Linked DNA regions of Drosophila melanogaster. The protein of the gene in region 1 purifies or fractionates together with the protein of each later gene. This does not show direct contact. Each region holds a gene or a part of one and is shown on either strand. Other genes may lie near its edges.

Region 1 (5,159 bases):
AGCTCAAGCTACTGGCGACGAATCGCCTTTCATGTCGCGCTCACGAAAAAACCCGCGCTCCGTCTTGCACTCGCGTATGGTAACGGTCTCCAGGTTTACGGTGACGTCTGTGATCACCACCCGGTTGGATATGTTGCATTTGGCCGGCAGCCAGAAGCGCGGCGGAAGGGCACGCGGCGAAAGAGGAGTAAGCGGCTGTTTCTGGTTGATAGCCAGGTTGTTGCACGGTTTTGGTATGTTATTGTTCTCGGAAGGAACCTGTGGCGCCTGTTGGTTGCCTTCCTCGTTGGCTACTTCTTCTTCCTCAGCTCCGGACTCTGCGGGCGTTGTGTTTATGGCTTCTGTGGCCAGTGGGGTGGCCTGCTGCTCAGATTTCAGCTGCGTTGCAGCCTCGCTGGCAATCTTTTCCGCTTGCTGCTGATCCTGGAAGGGCTGCTGCTGGCTGGGAGTTACCTGCTGGGTCGGCTGAGGCTTAATAGTGGGGCCATCTGGGGAGGTCTTAATCGTAACTCCAATCTTGCCCGATTCCTTGAGCACCTCGGCTTTGCGTTTGGTGCCGATCAGCGGCTGATCCTCGGAGCTGGAGGAGTTGCTGTCCGGCTCGGGGACAAATGAGTTGTGCGTGAAGCTGCTGTTCGAGGAGGAGCTGTGATCAATGCGCTGACGCTTGGACTCGTGGTGGTGGTGATGATGATGGTGGGTCAGCGGAGATTCCGAGCGCCGTCCACTGTTGCGTTCGGACTTGATGTGGTGATGATGGTGGTGGTGGTGATGGTGCTTCTTCTCCTTCTTCGACTCCTTATCGTGGGTAGCCGATGAGGTGGTGGCTTGATGCGTGTCCACATCGTTTTCGGTGAAGGTGTACTCATCCTCCTCGGATTCCGGCTCCGGATCGGGTTCTTTCTCCTTCTTCTTAATGCCTCGCTTGGAGGGAGTTCCGGAGGATTTGTTCGTTTGTTCGTAGATGTCGATGAGGCGGCGATCCAGGATGTTTACCTCCGGTTCCCAGGTGTTGTAGCGCTGGTTCCAGCCCTTCCACTTGACACGGTACTCCACGACGCCCTGGAAAATCGAGTAAGTGAAGGAGTGGGGGTGGATTGCATTTTCTTAGACAACTAATTGATTTTCCATTCAGCGAAACAAAAACACGCCTCACATACACACACACACACATACGAACGCACTACGCACACACACATGCATCGTGCAAATGGTGGTTGCAGCAGCAGATGTCCTCTGGCCAAAAAATGTCGAAGGACATGTGACCTTGTGGACTATACATATATCCTGCGTGTGCTGCGCATATTGCATTTGCCATTTTTAGCGGAGCATCCCGTTTTGGTCGCCTTTTTCGAATTTGTTTACGCTCATCTCACCTTCTTAACGCGCTTTTGGATGATTTTCTCAGCCGCGTACACTAGATCGACTGGATCGTCGGTCGCATTGTCGCGCCCCAACTTCCCCTTACTCCCCTTGCCTCGACCAGTCATTTTTAATTAATAATCTTCTCGGAACGTTTTATTATTCGTTTTATTTGCAATTAACTTCTGGTTTACAATTCTGCGTACGTCGATAGTCGTCCGACTCGATTATTTTCATGTAAACAATCGATAGTGCTGCGAGGTGCAGAGTTACCGTGCTACAAAGAACTGGGATCATATCTTAGCAAGTAGCCGTGTCGCACACCCTTTCCTGGCAAAATTAGCAAAGACTCAAAACTTTGATGACTAGACACACCTAATTGTGCGTTTTTAAAATGTAAATGTTTTGTTAAAATATTTTCAGAATTTCTTGACATTTTTCTATTATTTATAAATGGGGTATATAAATGTTTTAGAAAACATTTTTTTGGCGCTGTTGCCTTATACACTATTTTCTTTTATCGTTTCTACAAATTACTAAACCGGCGAGAAGTTAAACCAATTAGCTTAAATATAAAATAGCTTTTAATCAAATTTTAATAAGCGCATTTTTAATGAATCCTTTGTACAGTATTCTTTTTAAACTGCATGTTGAATTGAATTCCAGGTAACGAAATATTATACTTTCGTTAACGTTTATCGTTGTGTTGCTTTCATCCCATATTGAGTTTTGATTTTCCTTTGTCCTGCTTCACTTATTGTATCACAAATTGCCACATATACTTCGCCCCATATTCCTATTCAATTAAGTTTGATAATTAACTTGATTACAACTGAACTAGTTACCCTCTTCGAACTCTTCAAATGCCACATCCTCAAGAGGGAGAGAAAGTGCGGGAGAGAGTGTGAGAAAGCACAAGAGCGCCGAAAGCTCAGGATGGATGTGAAAGGAAGTGGCCGACTGCAGATATTTTATGCCAGTTGTATGTTGGCCGAGGGTTCGCGTGGCGGGGGCGGCAACGACGATGACATTATTTTATTTATGCTGTGATAGTGAAATAACAACAACACCAAGACCAACAACTGAAATAACACCCATTCCCTTGAAATCAATCGCAATATTTTCGACGAGGGACGCGAAACGCATGGAGAATCTTCACACTTAACGACGAAAACGAGAAATTAACCAAAAGCTTTAACCAAAACATAAAGAAAAACACCAAGCAAATTGTTGCGAACCCTATAAATAGATTAATGTTTAATTCATAGTGAAAACAGCACCAATTAGCGCATAACCTATAAAATATTAGTCAATATGTTTAGCTAGTTACAATTTACATAGATGATATTTAATTAGTGGCTTCAAACAAAACACCAAGCAACCAAACAACCGAACAAAAAAGGGGAAAAACCAATACCTAGTTCAATTGTACGGAGCGAAAAACTAACGAATAGCGATTAGGAAAACTGGCCAACTGATAAGGCTGGCGAAAATATTAAGCTTATAGCATATAGGAAATAATAATAGCAACGGCAAACCACCCCATCTCCAGGCGAAAGCCCCGAATAGCGGATTCATTCAGAAAAACGTGCCACACAACCGGACGGGAGCGACGGACAACGGTAAATGTCAAAGTCATAAAGAGAAAACTCGGAAATGCCGATGAGAGAAAGCTCAGAGAAAACGTCAAAACTATGAGAGGCGATAAAAGCTAGCCAGTTACAGTTATATTGGGAGAAGCAATGCCAAGTGTCAAAATCGCAAAGAGAAAGTAACAAAAGAGAGACACAGCTTAACGAAAACTTCCGGTTATTTTTTAACCAGTAGATTGAGCATTACGGCCATATATTAACGCAAACAGGACAATGGAATAGCTTGTATTTATCAGTCGTTTTGCCTAAAAAAAGAGTTTATAAAAAGAAAAGAGAAAGGAACGCCGCAATAGGAGGTCATACAAATCCTCAGAAGAGGGGTCGATGATAATGTGACACAATTCTATTCAATATGCGCAAATAAAAGAGACAGTTTCGGAGTTAATTAGGGGAAAGCCTAGATAAAGCTCAGAGCAAATCCCGAATCTAAACCAATGAGAAAGTGAAAGCTCAGGATAAAAGCGTCAGCACAACTTTTGGCCAAGACACAATCCAATAAAATCGAAACCAATGGCCAGCACAGCGGTGGGACTGGGAGGCGGCGAAGGTGACCCCGGGGCGGGAGGACCGCCAGCGGGATCAGCGCATCCCGACGACGCCAGCAGCATGAGCGACGACGTCTTCGAGGATGCGGAGACCACCCAGGCCAGGATCGAGGAGCTGCGTCGCCGGCCCTTTGGCGATGGCTCCTACAATCCCCCCGCAGCGCCCGCCTCAGTTTCCGCCTCGATAACGACGACAACGACACAGCAGCAGCAACAACATCACAATCCTTCGCATCACCACCAATCCTCGCACCACCAACCATCCCACCACCATCACCACCACCACCACAGCCAGCTGAGTTTGACGGGCAGCCATCACTACCACGACGATGCTATCATGGCGCCCGTTCAGCGCTCGGCCACCGGATATCCTGGCTATCGTCCCTCCCGCGAGGCAATGCAGATGTATGCGTACGGAACGGATGACTACGACGATGACTATAACGATGGTTGGCGATCGTATCGCTACGATGAAGTGGACATGCACCCAGCCCCGTCCAACGCCCATCAGCAGCCCTTCGATGATACGGTTAACCACAAGACGATCCTGCTGGGGGATTCGGGCGTGGGAAAGACCTCCTTCCTGGTCAAATACAATACGGGCGAGTTCCGACTGGGTTCCTTTTCCGCCACAGTGGGCATTGCGCTTACGGTGAGTTTTGAATACTGCAGTACCACAGTTTGTAAGTAGAAACTACTCTAGCTCCATATGCTGTAACTCGAACCAAAGGATTACCGTTTTATAAACTACTTTCTCGGTAAAAGCAACATCAAAGCAATGCAAAGTACTTGGTAGCCTAACCCGTGAATTTAATGATATGCCAACTTAAATACAGAATGGAACTCTCGCATGTTGACAGATGTTGGTTCGAGTTGCAGAAGTTCGAGCGTGGTGCCCAAGCTGTGGAACTCACTTGGCCTTAAACTTGCGATTGTGGGCGAATCCGTAGCGCTGCCTGCTGCATGAAACCCGCACAGTAGCCTGACCCCGCCTACTTAACCAGCCGCCCCTTTCCCCGCCCATGTATTGACGCACATTCGAATGGGCTCGCTTATGTAGTAAGAGTACGTCTGTGTGCATTGGCCTGCTGTGTGTACCTAATTGGGGAGCAGTTCCTGCTTTTGGTAATATAAGTCTCCGCCTTCGGGGCACTGGGGAGTAAATAACTAATCCAAATCTCATAACAGACTGTCGTTTTTTCAAAATTTTCTCTATGGCTGTTACGCCTAAATTCGTTTAAATATTATTATTTGTAGTAGTGCCATTTACATACATATATTTCTAGTTTTCGGTACAGAGACATGTTATTACTATTCCGCAGTAAATAATAAAACTCTTTTCGCCTCCTAAACGTATTAAAAATGACAAGACCAATTGGAATCCTTTCTCGCAGTGCACCTTTTTACTCCGCTAAATAGGCAACATATTGTTCGGGTAATCGCCGGAGATTTTCTATTTTTGGCGGGCATGCTGAAATCCCCCAAATTGATTTTTTCCCGCACGGTAAATATAAATCTCTGCGTTCGACCTTTTCCACGTTGTTGTGTTGTGCTGACATTGATGGCTGTCTGTGTGTGACTGTATGTGCAGCGCGCACTC
Region 2 (5,159 bases), on another chromosome or scaffold:
TTTGATTTCTTATTAACCTAAATTTAGATATAACAGTTGCATGGTAGAATAACGCCCTTCGTGTGGGAGACCCCGAATCCAGATCGCCTCTCGGCAATAAAATCCCTAGCGTTTCTGCATCCCTGGAAACTTTGCAGCTACATATGTATTTATGTATGTATGTATGTTTGTAAATACAAATGTTCAAGGAAGATTACACGTTTGGTGAAAAGGCGAAAGAGGGAAATAACCAACTAAGCAAAATAGAGAGTGAGAGAGAGAGAGAAAGCAAAAGCACTTAATAAGCATAAAAATAATATGGCGGCTGCAAAAAGAAAAGAAAACGAGAAAAAACGAGCCGAGCAAAAAAGCAATACTAATCGGAATGATGAACACTTGTGGGCCTCAGCGACGTTGTTGTTGGAAGGGGTGGGAAGAGTGAGAAGACCGAGTCCAACCAACGCACCCATACCACAAATGATGCACGCACACACACACGGGCTGGAACAAAATGAAAAATGAAATGCCAAAGACAGGCACCTTGGGTCATGAACGGTAAATATGTGAAACATTTGAAAAATTAATTAATAAATATATTAATATGTAAGTGAAACTCTAAATCTTATATCTATGTTCCTAATAATATAATAATAATTATTTAATATAATAATAATTATTTAATAATAATAATAATTATTTTACACCATTACTTTTTTGTTTTACTGGCATAACCCAAGTCGACAGTTATGTACATACAAAGATATTTCTGTTCTACACAGCTATGTAAATCCTAAGTTTTACGTTGCTGCTCTATAAGATTGCTCCAGTGTGCCTTTGGTTGCCAAAGTACAACAATAATGCATTCCAATAACAATAGATCGAGTGCCACTGTGGGAACATATCACTCTGTCTCTGCGCATACGCTACCCCTTCCCTTCGCAAACGCTTCGTTCGTCTGTTTCCGACAAGCACAACCAATAATAAAGTAAGTTGTATAAAGTAAGAGCAAGGGAGAAAGGCGCTAGAGGTTGCCAAGTAGTGGTGGTTGTGAAGGAACGAAAAAAAGAAGATGAAGTATAGCAGCAATCGAATTTGAGTCGGGCGGTAGACATTCGAGTGTACAGACACAGAAAACTGGATTCGGTCTCGGGTATTTTATTTTGTTTTCACAGTGGAAGGGGGCGCACAGTCGGGGTGGTTGAGCACGCATACACATGCCCGCCAGCTGTAGTCTTGATTCCTGTTTTTTTTACTCGTTTTGGTTTTGCTTTGTCAACTGCTGCCGTTTCATTCCAACCCCAAGCGAACGCACGGCATCCCGCTCGCACGCGCTATCTGACCAGGGCCACTCCTAGTGGCGTCGCACTCGCACCCGTGCATTTCGGTATAGAGAAAAGTTATTAGTCGCAACGGTATCTGAGAGGAGAGAAGCGGATCCAGCTGCACACCAACACACACACACACACATTCAGCACACATGCGCTCATTTTGTTTCCGATCCGAGCAAAAGTAGAGTTGTCGCTGTAGCGCGCGGTTCAGTTTGAAACTTAACTTGGCGGCGTGCGGTTCTTGCGCTCTGCTCTCTTTGCGTTCGTGTTGGTGTGGTGTCGATGTGTCGCATACCGCATGTGTATTGAACGGGGGAAAAAAAAAGCGCCGACGCGACGCACACACACCCTACCACCGTTTCGTAGTATTTATTTATATATTTATTTTTGGCGATCAATGCAAATCGGTGCTGACTATAAGTGATTAGTGAAAACAATTAATGCTGTGCGGCGTCTAAAGTTGCGTCGTTTTGAATGTTAGGCATGTACAGGTGCCTCCAAATATACAATAATACAGTACAGCAAGGAAAGCAAAAATGAAAACGGTAAAACATATTTTTTCTGATGAGACGCTGTCGTCGGCGCATGCTCTTTGCCTGTTGTTTGCGCCGCATTGTTGTCATTGCTCCCTGCCTCTTCGTTTTCTCCTTCTCCTCTTCCTCTGTTTCTGCCTCTTGCAACTCAATTTTTGGCTAAGGGAAAAATCAAATAATGATGGCATTATTGTATGCCGCCACACGCACATGCACACACACACATGCACATATCGTGGCGCGGTAGAAAGAAACCAGTCTTTCGGTTGCAAGTTGAAGATGCTGCTGTGCCTAGGTTTATTACCCCCCTTCCAAATCCGTTCCGCTCTTAGCCTGCCGATGGAAATGGAAGCCAAAATCCACCCCCGATACACACCAAATGTAACTGAAACTCCTAACTATTATTGGTGGCGCCGGTTGCTCCTTCCGCTCCTCTGAGCCGCGGCCATTTCTTACTCCTGGACAACTGGCGACAGCATTTTGAGCGCCCAGCTTAGGTCTTTGAACCTGTCCCCTTGGATATCACCATGATGGCTTATAACCATCGCCCAAGGGCCATCCGTAAATAAAAGTGGTCTCCCTTACACCCACTCGAACTTCCTCTCTGCGTAGTAGATGGGAGGAGGTGATGGAGAAGGGGAATATGCAGCAGAGAGCAATCCTACTATAAATAGATGTTTCGGGCACAGGCAACGCTGACAAGTGACCTGCTTTAGGTGTTGGTGTGCATGCACATATGAAAAACAGTGCACTTTTAGTGGGTCACGAATCATGAACAAATTAAAATATTTATTTACCTGTTCCGTAAAAAGTACTGAATACACGGTGGGGCTAGTGTTGTACAAAGTTGTAGCTGCAATCATTTGTAATTTCCCATATAATATGTTGGTGTTTAAGCTTACCACGTCTCACCTAAACAGTATCCACTGTAAGTAAATTACCTCGTGAGTGAACGATCATCCAAAACAAAGTGTATCTCTCGTTCCCTTCTCACATTTTCGTCCCGACTTTGTTTTCGTTTTCGTTTTCTTTGGCGTTTTTGGACCCAGATCGATCCCGTCTTTGTCTTTCTCAATGGTAGTGCGTCCCTGTCGCACCCCCTTCTTTCTTTTTCTGTTCCTCGTCCCCCTTTTCGCGTTGGAGAGCAAGAGAGAGAGTCTTTGGCGGGAGTAACATGCAGTCGCAGTTTGTTGTTGTGCGGTTTGTTCGTCAAGCGCTAAGAGAATATGAATAAGAATATAAATATAAATTTAAACATGAATATGAAGCATGCCCCACGGATTCGGAGCCGCGCCAAGTGTGTCCGTGTTTGTTTGTGTTTAAAGCAATTTACTGATAGTCTGTGTGCGTTTCCTCTTTCTCTTTCCAGCAGTGGGGACACCGAAAGTGAATCAGCAACAACAATACGTACACCACCACCTTCCCCGGAAGCCACCACATCTGTAAAGGTCAACTCCACCACTCGCGTGGACCCCCAGCGGCCACTAAGGTGCCTGGAAACACTCGCCCAGAAGGCAGGCATCAGCTTCGACGAGGACTTTGCCAAGAGTCCATCCCAATCGCCCAGCTCTAAGGCAGCACGTGGGTCAGTCGGAACGCCATCAATCAGACGGCGCCACCCACTACTACCGCTCAGCAGCAGATCGCCAAGCGCACCCGACTCAAAGACAACCGGCCGCAAACTGGAGAAGTCACAGAGTCCAGCTCAACAGGTGGCGGCCGCCACCAATGTGCCGCTGCAGATCTCCCCCGAGCAGCTGCAGCAGTTATATGCAAACAATCCCTACGCCATTCAGGTGAAGCAAGAGTTTCCCACGCACACGACCAGTGGCAGTGGAACTGAACTAAAGCATGCAACCAACATTATGGAAGTTCAGCAGCAGTTGCAGCTGCAGCAGCAGCTGTCGGAAGCCAACGGTGGAGGAGCAGCCTCGGCCGGAGCCGGAGGAGCAGCTAGTCCGGCCAACTCGCAGCAAAGCCAGCAACAGCAGCACTCCACAGCCATCAGCACCATGTCGCCGATGCAATTGGCAGCGGCCACTGGAGGAGTTGGCGGGGATTGGACACAGGGAAGGACGGTGCAGCTAATGCAACCCTCCACCAGTTTCCTGTATCCCCAAATGATTGTGTCGGGAAATCTGTTGCATCCAGGAGGCCTCGGTCAGCAGCCAATCCAGGTGATCACCGCCGGCAAGCCATTCCAAGGCAACGGCCCCCAGATGCTTACCACCACGACTCAAAACGCCAAGCAAATGATCGGTGGCCAAGCGGGATTCGCTGGCGGAAATTACGCGACCTGCATTCCTTCGAACCACAATCAGTCGCCTCAGACGGTGCTCATCTCGCCGGTGAATGTCATCTCCCACTCGCCACAGCAGCAGCAAAACCTTCTGCAATCAATGGCCGCCGCAGCTCAACAACAGCAACTTACCCAACAGCAGCAGCAACAGCTTAACCAGCAGCAACAGCAGCTCAACCAGCAGCAGCAACAGCAACAGCTGACTGCCGCTCTGGCCAAGGTGGGAGTGGATGCGCAGGGCAAGCTGGCCCAGAAAGTGGTTCAGAAGGTGACCACCACCAGCAGCACGGTGCAGGCGGCGACGGGTCCTGGATCTACTGGGTCAACACAGACCCAGCAGGTGCAGCAGGTTCAGCAACAGCAGCAGCAGACCACCCAAACCACTCAGCAGTGCGTGCAGGTTTCACAGTCGACTTTGCCAGTCGGTGTGGGTGGACAGTCTGTTCAGACTGCCCAACTTTTGAACGCTGGCCAAGCGCAACAAATGCAGATCCCTTGGTTCTGGCAGAATGCGGCGGGCCTGCAACCCTTCGGCTCCAATCAGATCATCCTGCGAAACCAGCCAGACGGAACCCAAGGCATGTTCATTCAACAGCAACCGGCGACGCAGACTTTGCAGACCCAGCAAAACCGTAAGAATATTGTCATGTATATTGCATCGGATAGGTACTAAAGTCAACTATCTTCCTACAGAGATTATTCAATGCAACGTGACGCAGACGCCCACTAAGGCACGCACTCAACTGGATGCACTTGCTCCCAAGCAGCAACAGCAGCAGCAGCAGGTTGGCACTACCAACCAGACGCAGCAGCAGCAACTAGCGGTGGCTACTGCCCAGTTGCAGCAACAGCAGCAGCAACTCACTGCAGCCGCTCTGCAGCGACCAGGAGCCCCTGTCATGCCCCACAATGGAACTCAAGTGCGTCCGGCCAGTTCCGTATCCACACAGACTGCCCAGAACCAGAGCCTGCTGAAGGCCAAAATGCGCAACAAGCAGCAGCCGGTGCGCCCCGCTTTAG

Evidence for each region.
Region 2: the proteins of Pc (region 1) and ph-d purify together in Drosophila melanogaster (affinity purification with western blotting; 11 studies listed by BioGRID, with this or other methods). This does not show direct contact.

The regions. Positions count from the first base shown.
Region 1 is NT_037436.4:21,316,421-21,321,579, forward strand, and holds the start of Pc (polycomb), read right to left. Parts: upstream 1,601-5,159; 5' UTR 1,491-1,600; coding exon 1,377-1,490; intron 1,063-1,376; coding exon 4-1,062; 3' UTR 1-3.
Region 2 is NC_004354.4:2,119,675-2,124,833, reverse strand, and holds the start of ph-d (polyhomeotic distal), read left to right. Parts: upstream 1-3,041; 5' UTR 3,042-3,109; coding exon 3,110-3,147; intron 3,148-3,209; coding exon 3,210-4,771; intron 4,772-4,832; coding exon 4,833-5,159.